Linked DNA regions of Cricetulus griseus. The protein of the gene in region 1 purifies or fractionates together with the protein of each later gene. This does not show direct contact. Links are inferred from orthologs where the notes say so. Each region holds a gene or a part of one and is shown on either strand. Other genes may lie near its edges. The genes, in order: Ptcd3 and Ybx1.

Region 1 (16,348 bases):
TCTAGTGGCTTCCTGCATTTCCTTATAAATGTCTTTATGAAGTCTCTATGCCCCTTTTCTCTTTTTACAGTTTGCACTTGCTGTTTTGGTCATCCTTGCACTGCACTGACATTGTTGCATATCTTGACCAGGTTTCTCTTCGTGGGCATTGAGGCTGTGCTTCTGACTCCCTGTATTCTGTAATGTGCAGTGTTTGTAGAGTGTCTGCTGAGCAGCCACTTGCACCTCTTTCCTTGTGAGAGTATGGGTGGAGATACCTGCTTCCCAGCCGCTCTTGCCACTCCCTTTCCCTTTGGTTCCCCAAATTCACAGCCTAACATAGCCTTCCTCCTCTCATATTGCAGCTTCTGGTAATGATCAGCAAGTCAGCACAGTTATGTAGTGAAAATATTAAAACCCTGACTTAGAACAATGGCCGTTGTGGGATGGTTAGCTGTTGGCTGACAGTGTTCCTGTGCTTGCCTTTGGGGTCACAGTTGCTGGAAGCCTTGCAGGGGGTCTCCTACCTTGGAGATAGTGCCGAAGCACATTGTACAATAACCAACTCTATCTGTTTGTTGTTGTTGTTGTTTGTGTGTGTGTGTTGGTGATGGAGTGCCGGGCCTCTCTGCCAATAACTGTATCCTGTGTGGGTTGCTTTCCCTATTGTGACAAAAGGAAAGGTCTGGTTAGCTTAGAGTTAAGGAAATAACAGCCCATGTGGTCGGGAAGCAGGAGCAGCAGGCAGGCGGTCACACTACCTGCAGTCAGGGAGCAAAAGCCACGCGTTCCCGTGCTTAGCTCACTTTCTCTGTATGTGCCATCCAGAACTTGTATGGAATGGTACTGCTCACATTTAGAATGGGTTTTCCCAACTCAGTTAACCTGACCTAGAAAATCCCTCACAGGCTTTCCCAGAGTCTTGTTTTTTTTCGGTGATTCTTGATTCTGTGGAGTTGACAGCATAATTACCACTGCTGACTCTCTAATGTCTTAATCTTTCTTCACCAGCAGTACTTTGATGAAAGATAATTCCTAATGCCTAGCTTAGTACTTGGTAAGTGGTACCCACTCCAAGTATATTTGAAAAATTAGTGAATGAGATAAAATCAAGATACCTTGTTGCTATTGGGTGTTCAAAGGAAAAGCAAACTCCAAGAAAAGGTTTTGGCTTTAAGAAACTCATATGCTCTGGTGACTTTAACCAAGATGGGCAGAAAAAGAGGAAGACAAGTTTTTTTGATTTGGGGTGTGTACTGGCTACCTTTGTGTATCAACTACACACAAGCTAGAATCAGAGGAAGGAGCCTCAGTCAAGAAAATGCCTCCATAAGATGTATGGCATTTTCTCAATTAGTGATCAGTGGGGTGGCCCAGCCCATCGTGTGTGTTATCATCCCAGGGCCTGAGTTATATAAGAAAGCAGGCTGAGCAAGTCATGTGAGGCAAGCCAGGAAGCAGTTCCCTGCCATCTGCATTAGCTTCTGCTAGTGTGTGTGTGTGTGGTCCTGGCTGTCCTGGAACTCGCTCTGTAGACCAGGCTGGCCTGGAACTCACAGAGGTCTGCCTGTCTCTGCCTCCCGAGTGCTGGGATTAAAGGTGTATGCCACCAACACCCACCTGAACCAGCTTCTTGATCTTATCTGTATGTTTTATTTTATGTTCAGATGTAAGTGGTATGTAGGAAACAGGAACTGTAGCAATGCTACTGTTATCCTGTTTCCTTTCCCTTTTGTCAAGTTACTTATTTATCTTATTTTCTAGTGCTTAATGCCCGAGTCCCTGGAACCTCAGATTGAAGAGGTGAGTGAAGCTGCACTGAAGGAACGAATCAGACTCAGGAGAGTCAAGGCTTCTGTGGACCTCTTTGATCAGCTCTTACAAGCAGGTAACTCCTCTCAGTCAGAGCCCCTCTTGGAACATGGGGACATTTGATATGATCCCAGTAGTTTGGAGTAAAACTGGCCAATATTGTTTACTTTGTTTCATTTATTTGCTTTTGTCCTTTGCACTGGTAAAGAAAGTGCATGCTGATTTTTCCTTGACCTCATTTTTTTTAACATTAGGTGTGAGAGGGCTAGGCCAGATAAAACAGAAACATGATGGATGGTGGTGACAACGCCCTTAATACCCCATACTTGGAAGGCAGAAGCAGGCAGATCTCTGAGTTCAAGGCCAGCCTGATGTACAAAGAGTTCCAGAACAATCAGGGCTACACAGAGAAACCCTGTCTTGAGAAAAACAGAAATATTTTATTTTTTGTGTATGTTTTGTTTGCATGAGTATCTGGGCATATGTGGGTATGGTGCCTGAAGAGGACAGAAGTGGGCATGAAATCCTCATTAACTAATTTACCATCATTTTGGGTGCTGGGAATGAAACCCAGGTCCTATGAAGAGCAGTGCTCTTAACTGCTGAGCCATCTCAGCCATTATCATTAAATTTTAGGAATCTAGACTCCTGTTTAGTGAATTAGAATAAAAAATATGTTAAACATGGAAGAAATGGAAACTGGAAAAACCATTGAAAATACAATTTGAGCCCAAAACATTTTTTTATACTCTTGAAGCTTTTCATAGCATCAGACAGACACATAACTGAAGGGTGATAGCAGAGCATATGTTCTTCTGCTTCCTGAATGTCAGCAACACTTGGGATGGATCTGTAGTGTACACACTTGGTGCCACTTCTACTTTTGCCCACGGTGGTACAGGTGTGCCTTTAGGTTTTTAGGGTGTCATGTCACTTAAACTAGCCTCAAACACTTTGTAATCAAGAATGACCTTGGACTCCTTTTTCCTCAGTGTCTTGAATGCTGGTGTTACAGGTATGGGCAGTCATGCTGAGCTTAATGAATTAGATTTGTTTTTGTGTGTATGAATGTTTTGCCTGAGAGTGTGTGTGTGTGTGTATGCATGCCACATGCTTGCCTCATAGTTCTGGAGGTAAGAAAGGATCACCTGGAACTGAAGTCATGTATGGTTATGGCAATCAAAGTTCAGGTTCTCTGTAAGATTAAAAATGCTCCTGGTCCCAGAAGCATCTCTCCAGACCCCTCTCTTTTTCTTTCTTTTGAGCTTTTCTCTATAAAGTGAGTGCTGACATGGGAGTATCATTTTGAGGGTTTTTGGTTTTTCTTGTTTTTTGATTTTGTTTGTTTGTTTGTTTGTTTTTTCAAGACAGGGTTTCAATGTGTAGTTTTGGAGCCTATCCTGGCACTCCCTCTGGAGAACAGGCTGGCCTCAAACTCACAGAGATCTGCCTGCCTCTGCCTCCAGAGTGCTGGGATTAAAGGCATATGCCACCACTGCCCAGCAAGCTCTAGGGTTTTGTGTTGTGGTTTTTTTTGTTTTGTTTTGTTTTTTGTGGATTTTTGAGGTGCTGGGAGTCAAATGAGTTGTTCTTAAGATAATTATTTTTATGCAGTTGTGCTAGTATTTCTTAGTAAATTTTCAGTGAGTGCCTGAATCCAGTTGGAATAATTATTTGTATTTATTTAGTGGGTCTGGTATAAAGGTATTAAGTGAAAATTCATTTGGACTAGCAGGTCGTTCTTCAGTGACAAGTTCCAGAGAGGAAAGGCCAAGGGTTCAGAAAACAAAGAAGATGGAAAAGCAGGGGTCAGAAGGTCTCACACAAACTGTCTCTTATGCCAAACAAATGTATTAAGAAATACGACATCTTATATATAGTTTATAGGGGGGAAATGGGACAGAATCTGCAGAAAGCCATTATGGATTATATTTGTTAATTGGTAAAATGGTACCAGAGATTAAGTATGTAGCCAAATAAGCCACCATTAATACAAAAAGTGAAGAATTTCCTCTAACAGGCTTTGGTTCTTGGATGTTTGAAGGTTTCTTTCTTGTTTTCTTTTTCTTTTTTCTTTTTTCTCCTAACCACAGGAACCACAGTCTCTCTTGAAACAACTAATAGTCTCTTGGATTTATTGTGTTACTATGGTGACCAAGAGCCCCCAGCTGACTGTCCTTATCGACAAACTGAACATGCAGAAAACTTGGTAAAAAGAAAAGAAAAAGAAAAAACTTGGGTGTTTTGTTTCTAAAATATTTTCTCAAAATGGGCGAGGGTGCTGTCCCATATGTCATACATAGTAAAGGGTCTATACTGAGGTGGAACTATAGCCTTCACTCAGCAATGATGAAGGAAGACACATATGAAATGAACAATTGTTTTTATTCGTTTTTAATCGGTGTTATACAAAATAGTGTGTTTTATTATGACATTTTTATACATGTATATAATGCATTTTAATAATAGTCCCTCCCCCTTTACGCTCTTTCGCCTTTCCCATTGGTCTCTTTCATCTTCCCAAATGGTCCTTCTTATACTTTGTTCATATGAGATAAAAACAAGCAAAATCTGTTTTTCTGAGTCTATGTATAATCTCTAGTTCCATCCATTTTCCTACAAATGACATAATTCTGATCTTTATGGCTGACTAAAACTTGGGTGTGTTTCTGTGCCACACATTTTTTGTGGAGGTGAACCTGGGGCCCTGCACATGCTAGACAAGTACCGAATCATGGAACTCTAGCTCCAGTATCACGTCCCCCTTTTTGTTTGTTTGTTGAGACAGGGTCTTGCTAAATTGCTTGGACTACCCTTAAATTTATATTTTGTATGCCTCAGCTTCCTAAGTAGCTGGGTTTGTAGGCTCCAATCCCAGTATAAAGGCAGAGGCAGGTGGATCTCTGAGTTCAAAGCCAGCCTGGTCTACATGGTGAATGAGATCCAGGCTAGCCAGAGCTATATAGTGAAACCCATCTGAAAAAAACAAAATCTATTGGGCATGTAGATTGATGCCAATTGAGCTATTATAAATAGGGCCATAATAAATACAAGTATGCAAGTATCTCTACAATGTACAGTTTTTCAGGTATGTGCATGGATCATGGAATGGCATAGCTGGGTCAGATGCTGTTTTGACAAGCTTCGTGCTGAATTCCATAGTTGTTCCAATAGTTTTATGTTTCCACCAGCAGTGAGCGTTTAAGGATCCCTTTTATCCTGCAGCCTCAGCAATGTTTGTTTGTGACTAGAGTGAGGTAGAATCTCAGTATAGTTTTAATTTAATTTGTGTTTTTTATTTGGAACAATTATTTTAACTATATTCTACTTAGCAATATTTTGTCTTCATGTACTAAATACTCAGCAGAGGTTTGGCCAGAATTGTTTGAGCCAGCACTTTGGTGACAGCATGTTGTGTAAAGATCAAGGAAAGACTCCATATTTTGTCACTGGTTACCTTTTGCTGAAAAGTTGTACATACATGGCCAGTAAGATAGTTCAGCAAGTAAAGGCACTTATTATATAGGCCCAAGAGCCCTGAGTTTGATGCCAGGATCCCATGTAAAGGTGGGATGAGAGAACCAGCTGCTCAGAGTTGTTCTGTGATCACCCATATGTGTGCTGTAGCATTTGCAGGTCCACACTGAACACACAATGCATTTTTAAAATTTATACAGATGTGGGCAGAGAGGAGGGAGCATGTTGCCCTTATGCCAAGTGTTGCCTGTAGGTGGAGTAGTAGCTGTCAGAGTTAGAGGGTTTATTTCTAGAAATAGATTTCAAGGGATCCTTTGTATCTGGTATATAGAGTTATGTATGGAACGTTTTTTCTCAAACAGTATGGATTTATGCCTGTACTTGAAAGATCCTGAAAACAGTGTAGATAGCCAATAGTAGCTGTTAATAGAGCCCTGAATGGTCCGGAAGTAAAAGATTACTGAGCATCTATATCCCCAATCCAATTTTTATAACTGAAGTGCTCCAAAATCTGAACTTTTTGACTATATTAAATGGGAACTTCCACACCTGGCCTTATATGACTTCATTCTTTCAAAAATTCTTTATGTTGTATGTATTTGGAGAATGAATTTCATGTTTAAACCTCATCTTTTGGATAAGGGATTCAATCTTTGTTATTTTTTCTTAATCCATTCAGACTTTGTTCCCTTCCTCTCTTCCATAAGGGAGAGAAGAATGTCAAACTTTGTTATTTTTATATAAAGTTTTTTCATTTGCAGACAGTGAAAATTTGTTTTTTTGAGACAGGGTTTCTCTGTCGCTTTGGAACCTGTCCTGGCATTCTCTCTGCAGACCAGGCTAGCCTTGAACTCATGTAATTCCTCCTGTCTCTGACTCCTGAGTGCTGGGATTAAAGGCACGCACTACCACTACCTGATTTACAATGCAAATATTTAAAAGTGTTTCTGAGTAATGATATTATGTTCTTTGTCCACTAATTGTGGGTTATTTCCCTACATAGTAACTAGTGTTGTAAAGTACTCATTCCTGTGACCATGTAGAACATCTTTTGAACCCTTCCAGACTGGCCCCCATTCTTCCAAGCCTTGCTCTTGAAATAGCTGGTTGACTACAGAACTAACCCTGGCTTCTGCAAATGCTAGTCAGGCCTCTATGTCTGCCTCATCCCAGATGATTCATTCATAAATAAGTCTTTTAAAGGTCCTTTAGCTAGTATTAGACATACTAATGTCAATTTCTCTTGCTTTGACCCCATGTGTACAGTATTTTTCTGAGACAAACCACTTGTGGCCTCTGTAGCAGTAGATTGCACTTTGTTTTGTTTTCTACATTTAGACAGGCCACATAGGGCATTGCCTTTGTCTTATCACCACATGATCTCTTAAGAACTGACTTGGCTTTCCTCTGTGTTTGGTGATTTTCACACTGAAGGAATTGGATGTGGGTGTGAACATTTTATTAAGTTCCTCTTTGCCTAGAGCTAATCTGTTATTTACTTTAGTTTTCTGAATTTCCTTTGCTTTTCTGATTTTTCAAGTAGTCTGCTAGCAAATATTGTCTTACCTTTTATTTCATCCATTCTAGGAAGAGGCCACAGAGACAAATGTTCAAACCTCCAAGATGAAGACTATTCCTTGGAAGTATGTTGCATATGAGAACCTTGTATTTTGGGGATTTTACAGTACATGCAAAATACTTTACATTGTCCTCTGGAGTTGAAATCCTGAAATGTTCTAAAACAGATTTCTTTTGTTTTTTTTTTTCTTTTTTCGTCTTTTCTGTGTATATGTGGAACTGGGTTTCTCTGTGGTTTTTGGCTGCCCTGAAGCTCACTATGTAGAACAGGTTAGACTTAAACTCACAGAGATCCTTATGCCTCCTTAGTGCTAGGATTAATATGTGTGCCACTACACCTGGCTTCTTAGTTATTGTTATATTCAAGATTCCATCTAGCCCAGGCTAGCCACAAACATAGACCATTCCTGGCTCTGCTCTCAAGGCCTGGTATAACAAGCGTACAATATCACTTCGGGCTTAGATTACTTTTTATGAGAGTGTTAACTCCTGCCACCATACAAAAATCTTTGGGTTTGTCCCGGGTGTCCTTTTTGGTTTTCCTTTTTTATTTATTGAGAGTTCATGCATTTTTGTTTATTGGAAATACAGTTTGAAAAAAAGTAAATAACAGTATGTTTGAACCTTTAATTAAGGAGTGCATGAAATAAAAATAAATATTCTATGTGGATCTATAGAGAAGAAAGGCTACCATTAATACCAGAAATTGAGATCAAGAGAAATGGCTTAGTAATTTTTTATATGAAGGCTTGAGTTCCGTTTCCAGCACCTGTGTGCCACTACACCTCTAACCTATGTAAGCACCAACCCATGTGACACATTGAAACAGATGGCACACTCGTGGGCCTTGTAGAAAGATCTTGGGTCATATCCTAATTGTCTGGTTTCTATAATATTAGGGTGTTTGGGATACAGGAAAATGTATATAAGGTGTATTGCTTTTTTCCCCTCTAATAAAGGTACAGAATTGCTCATGCTAGAGTCATGCTTGCCTCAGGAAGCAGGGTAGGGAACAGAGGAGAACCTCCATTGTGTATCTTTTTGGTTTTTTAAGACAGGGTTTCTCTGTGTAGCTTTGGAACCTATCCTGGCACTCGCTCTGTAGACCAGGCTGGCCTGGAACTCACAGAGATCCGCCTGCCTCTGCCTCCCGAGTGCTGGGATAAAGGTGTGCGCCACCAACACCTGGCCCATTGTGTATCTTATGTGCAGAGTATTTTGTTCTTTACCCAGGGACCCTGAGTTATTCATGTCCAGACAACTTCAGATCTTTGACCCTCCATTTTTGAGATGATAACCCTGTCAAACTCTGGGTTGTAGAATGGTTATGTGAAAAAATGGCAATTACTACTAATTTTCCCAGTGCCTCTGATTCATGTTTATTCTGTTGTTTCTAGAGCACAAAACAATGCTGAGAGAATCTTTGCTCTGATACCCGAGAAGAATGCACGCTCCTACTGTACAATGATCCAAGGGATGGTGAAGGTATCTTCCTTTATTTTTATCTTGAAGGTCTATTACGTTGGATGAATAATATATTTGGGGGTGGGGTCGGTTCTGAGCATGATGTCTATTTGCATCATTCAATTTTTATGCAAATAATGAAAATAGTTCTACCTCAGGGTCTCAGTTTGTAGGTCAGCTGGCTAGGCCGTTAGGGAGACAAGGCTTAAGTTCACAGCAATTTGTCTGCGTCTGCCTTGTCATTAAAGGTGCTCCAATAGCTAGCAAAAACTTTTTTTTCTTAGAGTGCCTTTAGATTCAACATTTCTTCCCACTGTATTCTCTGGAGTAATTGGGAACATGGGCATAAACTACAGCACTTAACATGATCATTTTATGTAATACCTTTGTGAGTCTATGCTCTGTCTTGTAACCTATTAAATGAGGTCCTATTCATGACTTTATATCAGCCCTCTAAATTTTTTAGCTTGGAGGCATTTCAAATTTTGGATTAGGGATGAATGACCTTTATTATAGTTTTGTGAGTTTTTTTTTTCTTTATTCATGTATGTGTGCATCTGTCTGTGTCTTAAGTGTATGAAGGAGTGTGTATGTGCATGTGCGCGCTTCCGTTGTGTGCCTACATTGGGTAATAGAGGGTGTTGATCCCTTGGAGCCAGTTACTGCATTTATTTATGAGCCACCTGACATGGGTGTGGGAATAAGAACTCTAGACCTTGTGATCGAGCACCAAGCACTCTTAAAGGCTGAGTCAGTCACTTCCTCCTTGACGATAAGAGGGTTGGAAGCTTCCCTTTGTGTTGTGAGATGTTGTCTCCCACCTTGCCGCCACCCCATTTCTACTCATTAGATGTGAGTTACATGCTCTTGCTTCACTCTCAGTTGTGATGACTGAAAATGTCTAAGCATTGCTAATGCCCTCTGGAAGAAACTTACTACACTAGGGTACGAGCTTCTGAGAATTGGAGGCTCCTGTTTTGTGTGTTCACATTCCAAATTGAGAACACTTTGATGATGTTGCTTTTTCCTCTCCAGCACCGAGCTTATGCACAAGCACTGAACTTGTACACCGAGTTATTAAATAACAGACTTCATGGTGAGTCTGGGGACTGGCTTCCACCTGTGTATTCCCTCAACTCAGTGGTTTCCAACCTTCCTAATGCTGTTAACCTTTAATACAGTTCCTCATGTCGTGGTGACCCCCCCAACCATAAAATTATTTTGTTGCTACTTCATAACTGTAATTTTGCTAGTGTGGTGAGTCATACTGTAAATGTCTGATATGCAGGATACCTGGTGTGCACCCACTGGTTGAGAACCACTGTTCTAACAAGAATCAGTTAGGTTTTTGGAAGTTGTCTCAGTTATTGGGCCACAGTTATTGTTTGGGGGGTTGTTGTTTAGATTTTTCAACTTTTGTTGCCATACTAGTGATTAAAATGGGACCAGAGAGCTAGTTCTATGATCATTTTCTCTTCACCTCAGCTGTTTTCAGGTAAATTTTCAACCTCAAGTTTTGTTAAAGTATTTTTCTTTTACAGCTGATGTATATACCTTCAATGCATTGATTGAAGCTAAAATGTTGATAGCCAGTGAGAAATTTGAGGAAAAATGGAATAATATACTGGTAAGGAAACAACCTTTATTGTCTTCTACCCACCTTTGACTATGAAATATTAATTTATCATTTATGTGGTGGCAACTGCTCAGTACTCTGCCCTAGCTTAAGAAGCCTCTCTATTATGGGGGAAAAAACAAAACACTGATTAATCAATTATTACATAGCAAGGATTCAGGAAGAGTTGGGACACTTAATGTATAATTGATTTCATTGTTAATTACAAAAGTACATACCTATTATAGAATTCTAGCCAGCGAAGTTAAATTGAAATCACTGGAGAGATTTTGTCAAAACTTAGAACGTGTTTTTACATACCATGGGCGCTTCTATTTTAGTCTCAATTTGGTAGAAGACTACAGATAAACACCTTGATTGCCTGTGGTGCATGATAGGATTTGGGGAGACAAAGATAACCTTGATCCATGACAGTGTAAGGAGACTTTCTGGAAGATGGGATCCCTGGTAGATAGTTCTTTGTCCCTTTTTGGTTTTGTTGGTTTTCTTTCAGAAAACGTCTCACTGTCCAGCCTTTACGAGTCTGGAACCTGATATGTAAATCCAGGCTGGTTTTCAACTCACCGAGATCCCTTGCCTCTGAATCTCAAGTACTGGGATTAACGATGGGCTTCCAAACCCGGTTGTTCAGGTTTTTTTAAGCAGATAGTTACTAAATTAGAGTATGGGTGCTAATTTTTTTCATATGTAGCCACAGAACTAAATTATTTCAGTAGTTTTGGCAAATTACCTTGGAGTAAAAAAAAAAAATTTCCTGTTTCTTAGGATCTGCTGAAACATATGGTTGCACAGAAGGTGAAACCAAACCTTCAGACTTTTAATGCTGTGCTGAAGTGTCTCCGGAAGTTTTATATGCATGGAAGGCTCCCAGCCTTACAGACATTACGTGAAATGAAATACCTTGGAATAGGTAAGAATGCATCCTGGCTCCTCTCTGAAGATGAGGTGTGCTGACTTTTGGTCTCAACCACAAAAGCCAGAAGTGTTTATATTTTTACTATTGCTTTACTGTTAGGGTTTCCTTGTGGCATTTGTAACTTCACATGAAGTTGGTTCTTTGTATCTATCTCTGCAAACAACCCCAGATAAAAAAATGTTAGGTAAAAATAATTGTAAATATGTCTACACTTGTATTGGCCATTACTAAACAACACAAGTATTGGGGTTGCATTTGTGGCATATCAGGTTTTGGATCTAGAAATGCTTTGAAGTATACAGTAGGATGTGTGTGGGTTATGTGCATATAATTCCATTTATATTCACGTGCCATGGATACCAAGTGATAACTGTCCGCTATGACAGGAATACTTTATCACTTCATGTTCTTTACAGTAGATATTATTGTTATTTAACATTTGAAATACTTTTTCTGTAATTCTCTTAATTTTAAAGGGAGTTGATTGCTTTTTTGGCCTGTTTTAAATTTCAGGACATTGTTCTAGCATAATTAAATATTGTGACCCAAATTATGTGCCACTTTATATTGTGAATAATTTAGTAATTGCTTAATTTAAGAATAGTTAGGCAAGCTGGGCAGTGGTAGCGTTTGGCTTTTATCCTAGCACTAGGCCAGCGTGATCTACAGAGCAAGTTCCAGGACAGGCTCCAAAGCAATACAGAGAAACTCTGTCTTGAAAAACCAGAGAGAGAGAGAGAGAGAGAGGAGAGAGAGGGGGGGGGGTCTTTTGCTTAAATGTTAATGTTGTGTTTCAGCTTCATTTTAGATAACTTATTTTTTTTTTTTCTCTATCTGCCTGGTAATTTGAGAACCCTCACTTGCAACATACCATCATATTATTCATCTCTTTTATCACCGAGGTATGTATACCCTTACATTATTTTGGTTTGTATGAAAATTGGCCATCTCTATTGAATTTATGTAATTGTTGCAGTACTTGCTCTTCATATGAATTAATAGCTCAGTGGCTAAGCGCACCGGCTTTCAGAGGACCCGGGTTCAATTCCCAGCACCCACATGGTGCCTCACAATTATCTCTAACTCCAATCATCAGGGATTGATGCTTCTTTTGGCCTCCAAGGGCTCCAGGCACACATAAGCATACATACAAACAAAACATCCATACACAGCCTGGCATTGTGGCACATGCCTTTAATCCCAGCACTTGGGAAGCAGAGGCAAGTAGGACTCTATGAGTTTGAGGCCAGCCTGGTCTACAGAGCAAGTTCCAGGACAGTGAGGCTACACAGAGAAACCCTGTCTTGAAAAACAAACCAATTAAAAAACAGAGAGGTCAGCCCTGCGTGGTCTTGGATACTTGTTAAAAGAGTCAAAGTTGGAGGTCTGCCACACAGTTATTTCCAAAAAAAAAAGAAAGAAAGAAAAGAAAGTATATAAATTAGCATTTACAGTTTGAGCAAACGGTTAATCTTGAGAGTAGAAACCTTGATTGTGATATGAAATACAAACTGGAGAGGGCTATAAAGTGTACTAGCATTCTTGGACTATAAAGAATAGGCAAGGTGGGTAGTTAAGGGTTCATTTTGGTCTTTAAAACTGCTACTCAGTATATTAGCTTAGTAATCACATATAGGTTGTTTCAGTTTATTTTTTTAAAAAATATGTGACATTAGGGCTCAGCAACCATATTCTTTCTCTTTGTGGTTTCCAAGAATGAAGCTCATGTGTCATTAGGTTGTCGGCAATTACTGTTATGTAACCCTGACCCATCTTACCGCCCCACAAATTACCCATTCTTACTCTGCCTAACTGTCAGTCTTCCTCACATGGTTCCCTTCTACTTGCATATATCATAAACATATGTATCTTCATGATCTAGATTTCATGTGGAAGAGGAATATAATAGTTGTATGATTTATTTTGCTTAATATGGTGATATCAAGTTGTTTTCATACAAATGAGATGTAACCGTTTCTCTTAAATAGAACTCCATCATGTATTCCAGACCCTTGTCTGTAATCTCTGAATTAGAGAAGTCAAAGCAGGCCGATAAGATGTTCAAGGTCACCTTTGGGCCAGCATGTTCTTGCTATCTGAGTCTCAGAGAAAGGTAGAAGGGAGCCTAGGAAGATAGGTCAGTTAAGAAAATGCTTGCTACCCAATCTAAACACTAGAGAGATTGATCACAGAACATAAGTGTTGTAGCACATACTTGTAGTCCTAGCAGAAATGGGTAGACTCTTCACTTTACCTTAAGGCCACCCAACCTAGTCACTTCCATTTAAGTTGCTCTTGTCATTGCTTTTTAATCATAGCACCATGTTACAAAAAAGGCAGATGGGTCAATGGGTTAGGTCTTCAAGCCTTGGTAGCTTAAATTGGACTCCAGAACCAGTGTGAAGCCAGACTAGGTAGTGGGTGTTTAATCCCGGCGTCCATGGTGAGATAGGAGGAAGAGACCATAGAACCCCTAGAAGCAACTCACAGGGGAACACAAATTCCTGATTTCTGGACCTTAGAGTTAGGATTAATAAGCATATGCCATATGTACTCCACTACTGATGTCCTTTTCAGAAGTCCTTGCCTATGCCATGGTTTTAAAGTGATGTCTCTGTGGTTTTCTTTAGCAGGTTCAGAGTGTTAGATCCTTTATTTGACCCATTTTTAATTATTTCTGTGTGCAATGAGATTATTTTTTTCTACATATAAAAACAGAATTTTGAGGGCCACAGAGATGGCTTAAGTCAGTGGTTCTCAACATTCCAAATGCTGTGACTCTTTAATACTGTTCCTCATATTATGACCCTGAACCATAAAATTATTTTCATTGCTACTTCATAACTGTAATTTTGCTACTGTTATGAATCATAATGTAAATATTTGATATGCAGGATCTCTGATATGCCACCCCTGTGAAAGGGTCTGTCAACAACCCACAGGTTGAAAACCACTGGCTTAAGTGGTTAAGAGAACTTGTAGATCTTCTCAAGGACCATGTTCCACTCCTAGCAGCACCCACAAGCTCACCACCACCTGTAACTCCAGCTTCTGGGGATCTGGCATCCTCTTCTGGACTCCCAGAACACCTATACACCTGTGGCACACATTCACAGACATCAGTGGTTCTCAGCCTGTGGGTTTCAACCCTTTCATGGGTCCCATATCAGATATCCTGCATATCCAGTATTTACAGTATAAATTCATAACAGTGGTAAAATTACAGTTATGAAATAGCAGTGGAAATAATTTTATGGTTGGGGGTTGATACAACATGAGGAACTGTATTAAAAGTCCACAGCATATGAAGATTGAGAAACACTGACACACTTGAGTAAAGTAATTTAAAGAAGAAAGAAAAATAATTTTCCTAGTACCTCCTGTGTTTCTACAGTATGTTTCATGGCTGTGCCCTCTATTCAGTTCTGCTAGCTACATGTGTGTTTTTATGGTAATGTAGTATAGAAGTAGTGTGTTTTTAAGGTAATGTAGGGATTTATATACATTAAATAATGTAGTATTTAAGAAGGATTCTTAAATACACTGAGTTGTCTCTTCAAATGGAGAACAATAGATCCTATTTTCCTTCTAGAAGGCTGGAAACAGATATGGTTGTTAATAGCCTGGTAACATTACCTCTGCACTACCTGTATGGTCAGGCCTTACTGGCTTACCCAGACCCTTATCGTGTGTTTTGTTTATTTTTCACCTGCCTTCTCAGTTAATGTAGAGAACCTATCATTATGGAAGATTCCCAATATCACTTGTACTTTACAGTAGTTTTGATAGTCATGTCTTAAGTTTTGTTGTACACATGAGACAGAGTTAATTATTGCCAGGAAACTTTCTCCACATTGTGCTGTGCTTAAATATGCCTAAAATAAACTACTTGGTGTCATGCTTTCAGAGTTTGAACTAGCACCAACTATTGAGTTATATTGAACAGGACTTCTTCTTGCCAAGTACAGTTTTTGCCCTATCAGTATCTAGTAACTTTTTCAAACCCCAGTTATTTTGCCATGTAGCATAGAATGTCTTGAACTTGCTGTGCAGTTTAGGTGAACCTGTTTGATGACCTTTCTATTTTAGTGTTGGGATGAACAAGCAAGTTTGGCCATGGCTGGCTCGTGTGACTTCTAAGAACTGCCCCATTCATTGATCTGTTCTGCAGTTGGGTTTTTTTCTTGGATTCCTTACCTGTTCCTTAAAAGAACATGGGGCTGGAGAGATGACTTAGAGGTTAAGAGCACTGACTGCTCTTCCGGGGTCCTGAGTTCAATTCCCAGCAACCACATGGTGGCTGGCAACCATATATAATGAGATCTGGTGCCCTCTTCTGGCCTGCAGGCTTATATGCAGACAGAACACTGTATACACAATAAATAAGTAAATAAATAAATAGATAAATAAATTTTTAAAAAAGGACACAGGTACCACCAAATGATTCGATTAAGTGTGTTGGTTTGGGATGAGGGGCTGTTGGTATTTGTTCCACTTAATAGAAATTTGAGCTTCTCAGGAAGAAATGAATAAAGATGAAGTCTAACTGGACCATACAGACATAGCATAATGATTCTTACAGATTTTACAAAGACTTGGGCTCTGGGCTATAGAAGATTCTTTCACAAGTTTTTGGTTCTGTCCAACTCTGCTAGGTCTTAGGCTAAAGATGGAGGCAACAGATAGGAGGCCTTTATAACTGGGGCTGTGAAGTTGGTTCTACTTATGGAAGTGGACTCCTAATAAACACCCATTTGCCTTACTTTTCTGCAGGCAGCTCTTTAAAAACGTCATCCTTAATCATCTATGACATCATGAATGAATTAGAGGGAAGGAAATTCTCTCCACGGGACCTGGATGATGGTAGGTACAGAAATTAATTGTGTTATTCCTCCAGCTAATGACAGGAGGCTTGCTTGAGTGCCATTATAGGCCTTGTGTTGAAGGCAGTGTTTATTTAGCTAAGTAACAATATTTGGATTGAATATTCTGAGAAAGCCAAGATGTCTGTGGCATATTTATATTATTGATATGTAAATACTGTTATATCCATAGCAACCAAACTTTTGAACTTTGGTTTTCAGATAAATTTTTTCAGTTGGCCATGAATGTGGTAAGTGCCATTTCCTTAATTAATTGTGCTCCAAAGGTTCCTCTCTGTTTCCTTGTTTTATCTAAGTGGGTGCTTCTGCATGTTCTTTCACTTTTAACTCTTTCCTTCATGCCTTTGCTTCTACTTTCTTTTGTACAATCTGTACTTTTAAATCATCTCCTATCTATTCTTTATTGCACTGTCCTTTTTCATGCTGTTTTGATAAGCTTTCAGAATATTTTGCCCTTTAGCTTTGTTAAATCCATGAGAATAGATTGTTATGTTTATTTTCATTTTATCATCCTAGGAAAAACTTCAAGTTTTCAGGATGAGTAGTGAGCATCCTGTTTGTTGAGAATTGTGTGGCAGCCTAGTAGCTATCTTCTGGGGTTTT
Region 2 (16,348 bases), on another chromosome or scaffold:
TGTGCTCTGGAGTATTTGTTCAACAACTGCTTTTATACTATCTGTGAAAATGGATCCTGGCCATTTTCAGTTAGAACTTGTCCACATTCTTAGACATTGAAGACTTCATACATGATCTACAGTGGAGTTTTTATTTGCTGGCTAGTCCTCTGGTATTATGGATTGCCTTTTACTATATTTCATAAATTCCAGTTTAGTGTACAAGTCAGCTTTACAAATTGAAGAACTTGATTCATGTCATACTGAGATTGATGCAGTTGAGTGTTGTCCCAAGCAGACCTGGTGGTATCATCCTTTATTGGTTGGTTTTTGAGATGTGGTTTCTTTGTGTATCCTTGTTTGTCTTGGAACTAACTCATGCTGTTGACAAGGCTGGCCTGGAACTCAGATCTGCCTTGCTTCTGCCTCCCAAGTGCTGGAATTAAAAGGCGTGCCCCACTCTGCCTACCTGTCCTGGTTAGTTTTTTCATTTTCTTTTTTGTATACTTGACACAACCCAGAGTTACCTGGGAAGGGAGAAGCTGCTCCTTTGAATTGCCTTGATCGGGGAAGTGCCTGTCTGCCTCTAGGAACCTTTTTTTCCAAACAGGGTTTCTCTCTTGCTTTGGAGGTTGGCCTGGAACTCAGAGAGATCAGCCTGTCTCTGCCTCCTGAGTGCTGGAATTAAAAACGTGTGCCACCAACCCCCAGCTTGCCTCTAGGATTAAAGGCCCCCACCACACGTCTGGTTTTACTTTTTTGTAAAGGCTGCTTTTTTACTACTTAGCTGGGATGTCGCTCTGGCAGGATGGGCAAGTGTGTCTTGGTCTTCATACCGTAAGGAAGCTCTGTAGTCACTGCCAAGACCAAAAGTGGCACAATACAAGAAATCCTTGGCCACAGCCATGAAGGCTAACCCTTTTAGGTGCTTCAAGTACAAAGGGAATTCTGGAGAAGCTAGGGATTGGGGTCCAGCTCATCAACAGGGCTGGTGATGGTTTGAGTTTCACTGAGGGAAAAATGAAGTTTTGGTTGCTCAGTGGTGGCATTGCTATAGAGTCCACTTTCAGGTTAAGTAACTTTCCATGTCTCCATGTAAAGGCAAGAAGAAAAGACCAAGAACATAAATATTGATGGTAGTAATGTGTTTTCAAAAAAGTTAGTTAGCTGAGTATATAATTATATATTTCAATACTGCAAAGTCTGCAGTACTTTAACACAGTGTTCTTGGTAAAAATGAAAATATGGTAGGTTGGAAAGATTTTGGCCAAAATCTCTTGGGCTTTTATTTTTTATTTTTATTTTTTAAAGATTTATTATGTATACAATATTCTGCCTCCATATATGCTTGCACGCCAGAAGAGGGCACCAGATCTCATTACAGATGGTTGTGAGCCACCATGTGGTTGCTGGGAATTGAACTCAGGACCCCTGGAAGAGAACAGTCAATGCTCCTAACCTCTGAGCCATCTCTCCAGCCCCTCTTAGGCTTTTAAAGTCACCCTGGTTTCTGTCTCAGAAGTGTCTTAATGTGTATCCACTAGAATAAGTATTGCACAAGAAAGTCTGAGGATTCCTTGACAGTGTTTAAGAAAGGGACATGCAAGAAGTTGACAATACTGTGACTCTTGGCTTGCACACAAGACTTGAAGAGTGAGCAACTGCTTACCTGTTACCGTATTAATTACTGATGATGGGAGTCTCTTCGATCGGTGACTGACTTAAGAGCTCAGAACAGAATCCTTATCTTGTAGTGGTTCTTTCCCTTTTTCTGCCAAGTAAAGTCATTTGCTCTTAATTCCCCAGAAGGAGCAGCATGTATCTTACCCTTAAGCTTCCTTATCCTGAGACTGTAGTTGTGGAGTTAGGTGGCCTTCAGGCCTGTCTAGATCCTTGGAAGCATCTGTGGTCACACCTGGAAAAGATATGTCTGCCTAGAGAGTTAGTAAGGAATTAAGTGGGATTTGTGATTTTAGGGCAAGCCTTAAGGCTTGGTGCAAACTATGGTAGTGGTTCTATTAGTATGTTGATCATTTTGTTAATGAACTTATCTTAGGTCTTATTTATGTCTCTTTGGGTTGGGGGTTTTTTGTTTTAACTTTGGGAACCTTGTTGGTCTGGGTAGATTAAGTAGAAATGAAATAGTAATTGTAGAGAGCTAGCTAGGGTTTGAATGATAGGCATAGCCAGTGAATGTTTTAGGGGCTTAATAAATATTTAGCATATTGCTGTAGTGTGTGAAACATGGTAATGAAAGGAGGAAGCTGTGTTTGTTTTCCTTCTGACCTACATCAGGAAAGCATATAGGGATTCTTGTGTTTTAATCTTCCTCTAAAGGTAAAATGTGAGCTGAAAAGATGGCTCAGTGTTTACAAGCACTTGATCCTCTTTCGTAGGACTCCAGTGTCAGTGAGATCAGACACCCATTTGTAGCCCCCACCCCACCTGAACACCTAGCATATAGATATTTTTATTATTATTTTAAGGTACACTGTAAGGATTTTTTTTTTCTTTTAATTCCTATGTGTGGATACCGGAGCCCCCAAGAAGTTGGTAGTCAACACTATGAATAAACAGCCACAGGTTGTATTTCAGTTCCTTTGTGAAGATGGTAGGGGTTAATGACGCTACCTATGTCAGAATTGTGGGGATAAATGGTATGTTCCAAACACCTAGTGTAATCTTCAGTGATCCAGGCTGCTATCTATATGTGTACCACAGATACCATAAGAGGACATTGAGTCTTCTGAAACTGGAGTGGCAGGTAGTTGTAGGAGTTGGGATCCAAACCTGACTTTGAGAAGAGCAAGTTCGCTTAATCACTGGGCCAACTCTGTAGCTCCTACAGTATTGATCTTCTTGCAGGTAGAGAAGAAAACAAAAAGTAAGGGGATAGCTTTGCTTTCCAAGGCTACAGGACTTTGGGGGGGGGGGCTGTTTTTGAGACAGGGATTCTCCATGTAACAGCCTTAGCTGTCCTGGAACTCCTGTAAACCAGGGTAGTTTAGAACTTAAAGTTCCACTTGCCTCTACCTCTCAAGTGCTGGGTTTAAAGGTGTGCGCCACCACTGCCCAGCAGCTACAGGACATTTAATAAAAGTTTTCAAACACATAGGAATCAAGTTCCTTCCTGACATCTACATACACTTTGATATATTCCTCAATCTAGTCTAGTTACAAGACAGCTGCTGAGACAGGCCTTTCTATGTGTATCTACGAAGTATTTCTTAGGGAATAGTATTGCCTTATTGCTAGCATTATCCAATTTTAAAAGCTAGATAAATAACATTTTATAACCCAGAAGTAAGTTCATGGATAACTGTTGATCATTAACAAAAAAAAAATACCCTTTGGAAATTTTCTTTTCATTGAATTTAAAATACTGAATTTTGAGACAGGGTCTCTTTATAGCCCTGGCTGTCCTGAAACCCAGAAATCTGTCTTCCTCTCTGCCTCTCCAGTATTGGGATTAAAGGTTTGCAACATCATGCCCAGCTCATTCATTTTACTGCATTTATTTTGGGGGGAATTGGGAACATTTGGAGGTCAGAGGACAAGTTGCAGGAATTATCTAATTATCTGTAAATGGGTTCTAGATCAAACCCACATGGTCTAACTCATATTTTCAGTAAGCACCTTTACATGCTGAACCATCTTATTGGCACCATCAGTTTAAGTAAAGGATATTAAAACAATAAATGGCTAGGTTGGATGAGGTAGTACAGCAATTGAGAAAAACCTTTTTGCTTTTTACCAGTGTGCCAGTGGTGTCTTTTGGTCATTAAATGCTAATATTAGAACTAATACTGAACCATTTCTCTGGCTTCCTAGTAGTGAAGAGGGTCACTAACAAGGAAATCTGTTCCTCCAGTGGTTCTTTGGGGTCCTGATGTTGGTCACCCCTGCCCACATTCAAAATACAAATGATTCCCCACTTAATCCTCACTTCCAGTTTCCATTTACTCTTGGTTTCCTCCATTTTGGTCCCAAGAAAGATAGCCTAAATATCTTCATTGGATGGTTGTTTAGTCTAAGACTTTGTCAGTTCCTGTCTCAACTTTGACCTAACTTGCTGGGCTTTGCTTATTCAGATGTTTCACTGCATTTTCTGCAATAATCACACCACATTCTTCTAATGAAAGACTTTGTTTTCTTGGTAATGATCCCAACCAGGGCTGTGGAAACTGAGGCAGAATTGTCACAGTGCAAGCTGTCAAAAGAAAGCTTGGCTAAGGATTGTGATGTCTGTGATGGGGGGGGGAACAGTGTTAGGCACATAAATAAGGTGTACATAGTTTACATGAAATTTCATTCTGTTTTCTAGAGGACTTTATGTGGTCATTTTTATTGCCTTAGGGAATTTGGAGATTAGAATTGTGAGGAAGTGAGAATGACTACTCCAGCTAGTACTACTGGTCTATAGGGAAAGGGGTGTGGGCAGGTTATTGTTAATGTTTAATAAGGTAGAGTTTCTTGTCATTGCTGTCCTTTTGAATTATGGCTCATTTGGTTACACCTTCTTAGACTTGTTTGCTTTCCTTACAAGAAGTGAGTGGGCTTATCACTGTTTCCCAAAGTTTAGTCTTTAAAGTAGTTGGTGTAGCTTGTGTTTTTACTGTATACACACACACACACACACACAGAGATAGTGAAGGTATAGCTGGTAGTCAATCACCCACGCTCAAAGTTAAAAGATAGAAATGATTTTCTGCTTAAACAGCTAGGAAATCTCTGGGAAAATTGAGGCTGTCCACTCACCAGGCAGTTCTTTGGGGTTTTCAGGTTGCTCTATGTAACCTGACTGGCCTGGAATTTGCTTTCTAGGCCAGGTTATTCTTAATCAGTTGTAGGCAATGAAACATAATTGTTTTTTCACTTGGTTTTTTTCTTGGTTTTGTGTTGTAGGAATGACACCAAGGAAGACGTATTTGTACACCAGGTGAGTGCTTTTATTGATTCTCTTTACTTCTGGCTCAAGGCTTAAGAGAAGAAAAGAAAGGATGGGTGTGTTCTCAACTGTTTTGGCTCTAAAGGTTAAGTTCAAGAGTGAGTTTATTTAGTTCCTGAACCTGAAGATTTAGTGTAGAGTGAAACATTGCACTGAAGAGTCCACTTAATTTAAAAGTGTTAGATTTGGAGTTTCATTAATAAATTTAAAATGTTGAATCTGTTCAACTGATGGCACACAGTTTTCATGCCTAGTTTCAGACAAATAACCACCATGAATTTAACCTTGAATAATGTGCTATAAATACACGGAAACATTGGCAAGGTATTGCCAGATGCTGTTAGAGTCAGGTTCGCTTTGGTAAGGACAAATCTTTATGGGACAAAGCTACAAAACCATTACATGAAGAAAATAGGGAGCCAGCACTGACTAGACTTTCTGTTTTCACCTTTAGAGTTGACTGGAAAAATAAATCCTCACTAGTAATTTAACTCATGTGAAAGGCACTGCAAGAGTTGTGATTGGTCCGTAAATTACTTTAATTGGCTGCCAGTGTTTGGAGGAGATAGAAGTACATACTGACTAGGGAAATGACTGGACATTAAGTTAAGAATTATTGGTAACTGCTGGGTGGTGGTGCACACCTTTAGTCCCAGCACTAGAGAGGCAGAGCAGGAAGATATCTGAGTTTGAGGACAGCCAGGGCTACACAGAGAAACTCTTGTCTGGGGGGTGGGGAGGGATTATTGGTAAGGTAAGATGCTGCCAATTGAGTGGTATACTGCCAGCATCTTCACACAGTGAAGTGGATTAGGGAATACTTCACTTCCTGTGTGCTTCCACGTGATCAACTTGTTGAAATATCCACTTGTGTTGAAAGTTATTTTAAGAATTTTCAACCTTTTTTTCCCCCCTTTATTTCTTTTTTTTTTTAATTGGGGGGAGACCAAAAGACCTAGCAAAGATTAAATTAAAATGCTTGTTTGGGTAAGGTGACTCTTACCTGTACTTACTACAAGTTGGAAATAAAATGAAGATTTAACAGACAAGAAACAGCAAGGGTTATTAGTCTTGCTGCCACTGATAGCCATGAGAGATTGGAAGGGGCTAAAGATGGTGACTAACATGTTTGGGGATTTTAATGCATACTTCTACTATCCCTATGACTGCAAATAATTGAGTTGGCTACATATGAAAGGTATGAAACTATACGACAGTTCAGATGACAGATGAGATCATTTATTTGACTCAACTCACCCAGTCTTATCCCATAAGGTGTCACCAATATGCTTTCCTATTTATTTTGCAAGTGGTATCAACATAGAGTTGTTCTTGGGACTTTGGCTACGAGGTTGTGGTGGTGTATCAAGTAGACTGCAGTTCTGGGCACCGGATCTTAATTGGCCTCAGATTTGTTGGTTGTCCGGCCTCCTCTGGAATAGAAATGCATGAGTGATCCTGTAACGGATACTGCTGTGATGTGGAATGAACTTGGGATTTGGAGTCCTAAGACCTGGATTTAGAAAAGTTCCCTGCCACTTAATAGCTGTGTGACCTTTGGCACTTCATAATTTTTAAGCCCTATATAATGTAAGACTTAACTGTTTTCTGGGGAGGTGGTAACCAACAGGTCTCTTACAGAGAGAGATATATACGAGTGGCATAGATACATGTGAAATGCATTTCCCTGGAAGTAGTCATTATAGACAGGCTGGAAGGGATTTTGCTTGACATTTGTAATTGAGTTTGATATGGTAAAGGGACAAGAGTTGGTATGGTCAAAGTTGAAGCATGTAAAACTAAACTTGCCTGTCATCTAAACTGGCCGTGTGTCGGGCTAGCTTCTATTAAGTGCAGTCTTTGGGGGATAGATGGAGGCCTTATTTTGTTCCAAGCTTTATATGTGATGCTTTTGCAAAAAGTATATTAAAACACATTGTTGTCTGTCTTGGGTACTAAATTACTTAGTTTTGTAAATAGTGGTAAAATGCTGGGGCCTTGTAAGATTGGAGTCTCTTGGTAGAGGTTGGGGGTAAGGTAACATTGGTCCCTGCTTTCCTAAATTATTGACAGTTTGGTCTTACATAAAGCAAATTTTAAGTATATATCCAAGCTAAAAATGATATTGACGCTGGTACATTTTAAATGAAAAAAGCACATTCTTCTCCCCTGTTAATCTATTTTTGGAATGATGTTACTAGACTGCCATAAAGAAGAATAACCCCAGGAAGTACCTTCGCAGTGTAGGAGATGGAGAGACTGTGGAGTTTGATGTTGTTGAAGGAGAAAAGGTGAGGATGCTTTTTGTGTAAAGGTTTGACTTCGGTATGGAAATAATTTGGAGATTTCATCCATTAGGATGGTGGCTCTAATTGGATGGATGATGTGTTCTGGTGACCACATGAACACAGGTGCATCAAGCCTAACGTGCTGCTGCAGTTAGAGAACAGTCCCTTCAGAAGAGTGAGGAGCTGATGACGCAGTCATTCCTATGCACCCTTTCCCATGCAGACAGCCTCCCTCGTTTTTTTGTTTGCTCTTGGGTTTTTTGTTTTGTTTTTTTTTCCCCCTCCCCAGCTTGAGTGAAATTTATTGAATATTTGGATTTCTTTTGTTATTGTCAATAAATAATGGCTTTTGTAGGGTGCGGAGGCAGCAAATGTTACAGGCCCTGGTGGAGTTCCAGTTCAAGGCAGTAAATACGCAGCAGACCGTAACCATTATAGACGCTATCCACGTCGTAGGGGTCCTCCACGCAATTACCAGCAAAATTACCAGAATAGTGAGAGTGGGGAAAAGAACGAGGGATCGGAAAGCGCTCCTGAAGGGCAAGCCCAACAACGCCGGCCCTATCGTAGGCGAAGGTTCCCACCTTACTACATGCGGAGACCCTATGGGCGTCGACCACAGTATTCCAACCCTCCTGTGCAAGGAGAAGTGATGGAGGTAAGTGCCAGTATGTATGCAACAGCATTTTTGCTGTCTCAGGGCTAGTGCTGAGTGAGCACCAACCATACATACTCCTTATAACAGCCTTTGAGAAAGACTATTTTAACTTAATCGTGGAAATTTTCCCCTAAATTAACCTGTTACCACAGAATGCACTTTTGATTATGAAGAAACCACCAAGCTTGTTAATGTATGGTGTGATCATAATTATTAGATATCTTGTACTCAGGAATTGGAATTTGGCCAGGAAAGTGTTTTCTGGTTTGAACTTCAGATTGGGATTTTGTTCTTGTTGTGGACCCAATAGACTTTAATTTCTAATGTCTTCTGATGTCTTTTCAGGGTGCTGACAACCAGGGTGCAGGAGAGCAAGGTAGACCAGTGAGACAGAATATGTATCGGGGTTACAGACCGCGATTCCGCAGGTATGGTCCATCGTAACCTGTTTCTGTTGCATTCTTCAGCCAGATGTTAGGCCTCTCCAGCATCGTGAGTTAATACTTCATTCTCTTTCACTGATGCATAAGAAGTGCTCCTGAAGTGAGTAGTCTTTGAGAATGTGTTCTTTCTTTTTGGTTTCTCTGTTTTGGAGCCTGTCCTGGGCTCTGTAGACCAGGCTGGCCTGGAACTCAGAGATCTGCCTGCATTTGCCTCCTGAGTGCTGGGATTAAAGGCCTGCGCCACCAGTGCCTGGCTGAGAAATGTGTTCTTTCCAGCTTTGTCACTGCTTTTATAGTCACAGCTTATATAGTTGAAATCTACTGTATATGGTTCTGTCCCCGAACAGGTAAGAGTATTTCAAATGACAGTATCTAAACATGGCTTACTTAGGAAGGGAGAAAGGTGAGGGTAATAAATAGAAAGTCCTGTGTAGTGGTGTTTGAGGTAATAGGAGCTATTGGAATAATAGGAAAGGCTTCATGTGCAAAGCTGGATCTGCTGGACTTAGAGGAAGGTTTAGGAGTTAGAGAACCCAATGAGGTTATATAACTATGCAGCAACAGCTAGTGCTCCACATCCATGGAGTGTTTATATTATCAGCCAGTTTCTCACCCTGTCCCAAATTTGGGATTGAACCCAAAGACCACTTATCTGACAGATAGGACTCACCGGTGAGTGTATTGTGTATGTCATCCTTGGGTGTCTTTCTCAATCATTTACCTTAGTTTTTTTGAGTCTTTACTGGATCTGGAGCTCATTAATTGAGCTAGACTGGGTTTCTGTCCTTGGTGCTAGTACTCAAACGAACATCACCACCCAGCTTTTTGGGTTTTTGGTTTTTCAAGCTTCTCTGTGTCCCTGCCTCTGTAGCCACACTGGCATTGAACTCTGCCTCCGGCATCTGCCACCAGTGCCCAGCACTTTACCACTTGATCACTCTCCCGGCTCCTCTCCCTGGCATTGTTCTTTTCTTTTCTTCTTTTTTTTTTTTTTTAAGACAGAATTTAACTAAGTTGCTTGGGCTGCTAGCCTCAAACTACTCATCTTTCTGCCTCTACCTCTTGAGTGGCTAGGATGGAAGACATGTTACACAGCACCCAATAGTACCAAAACATGGTCAGTGTCTAAGCTTATGTGCCCTGTGGTGGTTGGATTTTTATTTTTGAGACAGGACCTCATGTAATTCTAACTGGCCAATACTCAGTGAAATTGAGTTGCCTCTGCTTCCTCGGGCCTGGGATTAAAAAGAGTGAAACACCACACCTGCTGTCCTTGTCCTGTTGGTTTTGAGGCAGGGTTTTTCTATGTAGCCCTGGGTGTTCTGGAACTCTGTCTAGCCCTGACTGTCCTCAAACTCAGATCCAGATCTGCCTGCCTCTGTCTTCTGAGTGCTAGCTAGGATTAAAAGGGTTTGCCCTGTCCTGTGTTTTTAATTCAGATGAATTAGGAACCTTTTCTTGGTTAACTTTTAGATTGATTTTATTTGAAACATTACCTGCGTGTAACACATGTATGATGGTGTCCAGAAAGCATCTGATGTTCTGGAATTGATGTTACGAACATGAATTGTGGGTGCTTGGGGACCACTGGGGCATCTGGACTACTCCCTGGTGAATATGATTTGATTGTGTTGTCCTTGTGCTGAATTCTTTCTGTTTTTAATGTTGATGACTTAATGTTTTTAATGATTTGGAAATTCTTCAGTGCTACACCCATTGCCATAGCCTAAGTATAAAACGTAAAGCATGCTCTCCTATCAGTATATATTAGTCTATAGTTGTCAACAACAGAATCTTGGGTGTGCGAGTGTAGCTTAAATCTCTTGCTAGTTTCACTAGTATCTTGAGCAAATATATTTTGGTGGTGGTTTAAGTTAGAGATACTGCCAGGTGGTGGTGTTTCTGGCTTTTAATCCCAGGCATAGAAGGCAGGCAAATCTGAGTTTGAGGCTGTGAGGGACACCTTGATCCATAGAGTGAGTTCCAGTATAGCCAAAACTACAGAGAAACACTCTGATTGCTTCCTTACATAGGCTTTTGTTCCTTGATTTGTTACAGCTAATGTTCTGTATGTGTGTGAATGTTTTGCCTGAATGTATTATATCTGGTGCCTGTGGAAGTCAGAAGAGGTTGTGGGTTCCCCTGAAACTGGATGGTTCTGAGGAGTTAGGGGTGGTTGCTAGTCACCATGTTGGTGCTAAGAATCAAACACTGGTCCTCTGAACAAGTATTTTTAACTGCAGAGCTATCTCTCTCTACAGCCCCTTGAATTAATTTTATAGTAATTTTTTTAAGTTTGCACAAAGGGTATGATTTTCCAACCATGCCACAAATCTTAAGACACATGGATAGAAAGTATGGATCCTTTTGATGGAATGGAGTTAAGAAGAAAATGTGTGGTCAAGAATTTTAGTGTATGATAAATAGAAATGATAGATTAGAACATACAATAGAACAATAGTTACTAGCAAGAAAATAAGTTGAGTAAAAAAAGTATTGAATTGAGTGCACCAGCACTCAATTCCAAGCATTTAAGCAGCAAGCTCAGCTTTACTGGCCTTGGTTTATATGAATGAAATGAAGAAATACACCTTTTATACAGAATCTTTTACACTTGGCTTTTGGAAGTAATTTACATTTGCTAAGCTGTCAGAACAACCAATAAAAGAAAATGGTAGGTATAACCAAGTACCAAGTATTATCACTCTTGAAGTTATATAATGTTCATTTCAGGGGCCCTCCTCGCCAAAGACAGCCTAGAGAGGACGGCAATGAAGAAGACAAGGAAAATCAAGGAGATGAGACCCAGGGTCAGCAACCACCTCAACGTCGGTATCGCCGCAACTTCAATTACCGACGCAGACGCCCAGAGAACCCTAAACCACAAGATGGCAAAGAGACAAAAGCAGCCGATCCACCAGCTGAGAATTCGTCCGCTCCCGAGGCTGAGCAGGGCGGGGCTGAGTAAATGCCGGCTTACCATCTCTACCATCATCCGGGTAAGTAGTCATCCTCTGCGGTTCACTGCACTGTGCACTGGTGCAAAAGAAACTAAAAACAGTAATAGAGTAAAACAAGCACTTTATTACTGTTCACTCTAATCCAAGTTAGACAAAATGTCTCCCTTTAGATCAGTCTTCATGTTGTATGTTTTGACTATGAACTTATGTCTGTCGGTCAACTCTGTGATCTTAGCAGAAAACTAAGTCTTGCTCCTGGTTCTCTGGAGATATATTCCAGCACTAGAAGCAGAGGCAGGCAGATCTCTGAATTTGAAGCCAGCCTTAAATCCTCCAAGCCTAGCTTCCATTTGGCTTTACTTGCCGATAAAAGACTAAATTCAGCCTGTCAGTGGTGGCACACACCGTTCATCACAGCACTTGGGAGGCAGAGACAGGGGGATCTGAGTTCCAAGACGGCCAAGGCTACGCGGGGGGGGGGGGGGGGGGGCAAGCAAGAAAAGAGAAGAAAGTATCTCTGGCTCTGGGCTTGTCATTTTCTTCCCCTTTGTATGTGCTGAGTAGCAAAAGATCATCCATATGCAGTAATGTCCACTCCTGTTATGAATCATTCTTAGGCTAAAGCAAAATGAGGTAGTTAAAATGTGACTGATTGGTCCACTATGTGAAGAATATGGTAAATAATGAGTCTTTCTCTTTGCAGTTTGGTCATCCAACAAGAAGAAATGAATATGAAATTCCAGCAATAAGAAATGAACAAAGATTGGAGCTGAAGACCTTAAGTGCTTGCTTTTTGCCCGTTGACCAGATACACTAGAACTATCTGCATTATCTATGCAGCATGGGGTTTTTATTATTTTTACCTAAAGATGTCTCTTTTTGGTAATGACAAACGTGTTTTTTAAAAAAAAAAAAGGTCTGGTTTTTCTCAATACACCTTTAATGGTTTTTAAATTGTTTCATATCTGGTCAAGTTGAGATTTTTAAGAACTTCATTTTTAATTTGTAATAAAAGTTTACAACTTGATTTTTTCAAAAAAAAATTAACAAACTGCAAGCATCTGTTAATAAAGGTCTTAAATAATAGTGTCTGTCTAGTTTTGTCATAATTTGGTAATTTCCTCCCATTTTCACGATTTTTAGAGTGAAGCGGTTTACAAATGGGTGTCCTCCCCCCAAAGGGACACTTTCTTAAGATCAGAGTCTTTATCTGGGTGCTTAATCAGCTAGTTGTCCATTTTTATGTATAAGTGAGTTAGTCTGTCCAGAATGCTCTATGTAAGACATCAGCTGTGGAGTCTGGAGATGGAAAGGTTTCTTTTGCTGCAAAGTAAAAGGGTAGAGGAGTTTTGCAGTGCTGTTGAAAGTCCAAGTGATGTTTCCCTCTATAAAAGCTCCATAGAATATAAGATACTGCATTAGAGAATTTGGGATGGGGAATAGTGGGTGCTCTTTGTCAACCAAGTCTAACAAACTTGGGACCATTTCTTTTTGGTTTTTAAAGACAGGGTTTCTCTGTAGCTCTGTAGACTAGGCTGGCTTGGAACTCAGAGATCAGCCTGCCTCTGCCTCCCACATGCTGGGATTAAAGGTGTGTGCTACCACCGCCCAGCTGAGATCATTTCTTTGTAGAAGAAACTAATCAGAATCGATCGGTCATACCTATCCTTACTAAATATGGTAAGGGTGTGTTAGTGTTCTGAAAATAGTATTGTCAAGAGTGCAGCGAAAAAATGACTGTTGTGAATGTATCAGTAATGGAGACTATTTAGTTAAAACCTAATGTGAATGTGTAGATGCCTGTATAAACCAGTTTTCTAGAGAAGCCATGAGATTGCTATATAAGCATTAAAGAATTTATCAGGTCATTTTTTATATTAAAATAGCAACAATAACTGAATGACAATAGAATCTGGTAGTTGCTCAATCCTTGAAGATAGGTGCTTTAGCAACCTTACCTCCTGCCGAGAACCTGGAAAGTGAGCTATATGTCGTCATTCCAAAGTGGAAGCTTGCAAGTACTGCTTCTAGAAGCTGGAAAGAAATCAACAAGCAGCAGAGCAAATCAACTCAGCAGCAATAGGGAAAACCAAGGAAAGCAATCTGCCCTTTTTATCTGGTCTGCTAACGAAAGGTCCTACCTAGTATTTGGTTTTCCCATGTCAATATAATGAGGACATTCTTTGGATTGTGACTCCCTACACTCAGTGAATTCTGGTTTGTCACAAATTGTGAGGAAGTGCTAAAAATTAGCAAATATGATCGAGGTTGGAAAGGAAAATGGCCCAGGGGTTAGAATTGTAAAAATGCCTCTGGATTCGGGGGTGGTTGTCAACCCATCTTTGGATGAGTGGTGCCTGGTGTCAGGGAGGGACCAGCTTGGACTTGAGGTTGGTTCATGGGTGTCTGACAGATGTGGCAAGTTAATGGTTCTGTTAGAAACTTGAGGCTAAGGACATAAATGATCTGAATGAAGTTAAGTGAGTAAAAATGTGTGGCTGGGCATGCTCACACATGCCTTTAATCAGGTCCACAACACTGACACCCAAAGGACTAGTCATCTGGTAAGTTCTCTACTGCATGTTTCCCACTTTAGCAGGGTTTGGTGGTGCATTCAGGAGACTGGCAGGAGGATCTACATAGCCCCAGACCAGCCAGGACACCTCTATCTGAAAGCAAAAAGCTAGTCTCTAACTTTGCAGAGGCCAGTGTCTTACAGGAGACTCATGTTCACTGTTTTGTTCCAGTTTCCTTTTCCTGAAATGTCCCCACCACAAAGCTTTCATACATTTCCTCTTGGCTGTAACAGTTACTGAAGATAGCCAAATGACTTTCTCCCTCAGTTTTTTAAAGCCTGTGGTTTAGAAGTTTATTCCTTACTGATGTGCTTAAAAGTGGCATCCTCCCTCTGTGTATAAGCTCTCCTAGTTGTCTGGATTCCTGCCTTGCTACTTTATTTTCCTGTCTTTCCCAAGTAGAAGATAAGCCATGTGAGGGCAGGAAGGTTTATGCTTTGTCTGCTGAGTTCAAAACAAATTATCAAATGTGTTGAAAATGATAGCCTTGAGTTAGTTTGGCAGTGGATGGGTTAATGGCTGTAGCTGCAAGGGAGGGAAGATGAGTAATGTAACTGGTATAGACCTGGGGGCCTAAGCAGCCGATGTGAAGATTGGCAAGTCAGTTTTAGTCTTGTGATATGGCTTGCAGTTACAAGAAAGGTTACCTTCCTGCTCTGTCAACAAGGCAGGGAGGAGCCACTCCCATTATGAGGGCCCCACCCTTATGACCTCATCTAAGCAGAATGGCTTCCTGCTGTGACTTGGCTCTGGAATATATCCCAAAGGCCCCTATGTTATCAGCTTGCTTGCCAATAGAACTGGGGATATTTTGGTGGGAGGTCTCATTTTACTAAGGGACATGCCCTCAAGAGTTGTGAGCTTGAGGCTTCAGCCATGAAGGAAGCACCTTTGTTCTATATGCTTCTGATATGACTGGCTGGCTGACCACAGACCCGGAAGTAAGGGGAAGAGGGCCAAAAGTCATGAACAGAAACTTGAAATAGCTATGTTCATCTAAGGATAGATAGGGTTAGGGAGAGTGCTGGGCATTGAACCTCAGGGTCTTGTGCTTGTATACTGCTAAGTAAGCACTCTACCAATCCGGGTTTCAGGATTTTATTTTACTGAAAAGCTCACAAGCAACCCAAAGGTTCCACCAAAGAACCTCATGTGTGGGGGTTAGGGCTTCAACATGAATGGGTGCAAGGTACCCTGACACAATTGTACCCATTGCATTGTATGGTGTGCACATTAACAATAGCCAAGTAAGTCTCCTAAAAGTGAAAGTATGGATCAGTTATACTAGAATGAAAGGGTTTCTAACTTAGGAGCCTGTCTGTCCCAGAACCTGCTCTGTAGACCAGGCTGGCCTCTTACCTCCCCAGTGCTGGGATTAAGGGTGTGTGCCGCCGCTGCTACCTGGCAGAAAGGTGGTTTTTAACATTTTACTGTGAAAACTAACTGTAAAAGAAAATGGGGGTGGGGGGCTGGAGAAATGGCTCAGAGGTTAAGAGCACCGACTGCTCTTCCAGAGGTCCTGAGTTCAATTCCCAGCAACCACATGGTGGCTCACAACCATCCAAAAATGAGATCTGGTGCCCTCTTCTGGTGTGCAGATATACATGGAAGCAGAATGTTGTATACATAATAAATAAAAAAAAAATCTTAAAAGAAAATTCAGGGAGTGGGCTTTAAGGAACGTAGAAAAATAGCAAGACTTAAGTGCCCCTTACCAGCAAGTACTTCAGGTGGAAAAAGTGGGTTTAAAGTCTCCAGTCAAAAGACAGATTTTAATGGATAACAACAGTGAGCTAGTTATATGACTCCCATTAGGTTTTGAGACATAAATGAGCGTGTAAGGATCAAAAAGAAAATCCACACAAATATTTAATTGGAAGTGACCAAGAGTGGTGGGGTCAGAAGTTGACATCCTTCACCTTATGTTTGGGGTGGGTGGATCTGTTTGCTTTCTTGGAGGCAGGGTATCTCATTGAACATGGAGCTGCTGATTCAGCTGTGCTGGCTGGCCAGCAGTCTGCCCCTTGGAGTTTTGTGTGGTGCTAAAGACCCAGGTAATCTTGCTTACGCAGCAGGCAATTTTATCAACTGAGCCATCTCCCCAGCCTGACATGCCATATTGACCAAGCAAAAGTATACTTCAAGAAAGTTAACAGTGGGACTGAGGAGGTGGCTTAATGGGTAAAAAGCTGAGCAAGAGCAAGCCTGATAACTAAAGTTTGATTCTCAGAACCGGATCAAAGCCAAGTGTGGTAGCATGTGTCTATGATTCCATGCTGGGAGATGTGGGGTGGAGACAAGAGAATTGCTCCCCTGGACTAAGTACATAGTGCAGCCCCAGAAATCACGGACCCTTCCTCAAAACAAAGTAGTAAAAAAGAATTTACTGGGAAGTTGTCCTCTGACCACACACACACTGTGTCACACATGTCTGCATGCAAGCATGCATACACACACAAAAATAATTTATAAGGCACAATGCCATATTTTAATAAG

What was found.
Region 2: the proteins of Ptcd3 (region 1) and Ybx1 purify together in Homo sapiens (co-immunoprecipitation; 4 studies listed by BioGRID and IntAct, with this or other methods). This does not show direct contact. The link is inferred for Cricetulus griseus from reciprocal best matches to the Homo sapiens genes PTCD3 and YBX1.

What each region holds. Positions count from the first base shown.
Region 1 is NC_048601.1:63,589,623-63,605,970, reverse strand, and holds part of Ptcd3 (pentatricopeptide repeat domain-containing protein 3, mitochondrial), read left to right. Parts: intron 1-1,743; coding exon 1,744-1,867; intron 1,868-3,884; coding exon 3,885-4,000; intron 4,001-6,855; coding exon 6,856-6,911; intron 6,912-8,243; coding exon 8,244-8,331; intron 8,332-9,345; coding exon 9,346-9,406; intron 9,407-9,851; coding exon 9,852-9,937; intron 9,938-10,711; coding exon 10,712-10,856; intron 10,857-11,713; coding exon 11,714-11,764; intron 11,765-15,635; coding exon 15,636-15,725; intron 15,726-15,946; coding exon 15,947-15,975; intron 15,976-16,348. UniProt on the Homo sapiens protein: Mitochondrial RNA-binding protein that has a role in mitochondrial translation.
Region 2 is NC_048595.1:32,878,466-32,894,813, forward strand, and holds the end of Ybx1 (Y-box-binding protein 1), read left to right. Parts: intron 1-4,884; coding exon 4,885-4,918; intron 4,919-7,128; coding exon 7,129-7,218; intron 7,219-7,570; coding exon 7,571-7,873; intron 7,874-8,218; coding exon 8,219-8,301; intron 8,302-11,049; coding exon 11,050-11,284; 3' UTR 11,285-11,315; intron 11,316-11,979; 3' UTR 11,980-12,360; downstream 12,361-16,348. UniProt on the Homo sapiens protein: DNA- and RNA-binding protein involved in various processes, such as translational repression, RNA stabilization, mRNA splicing, DNA repair and transcription regulation.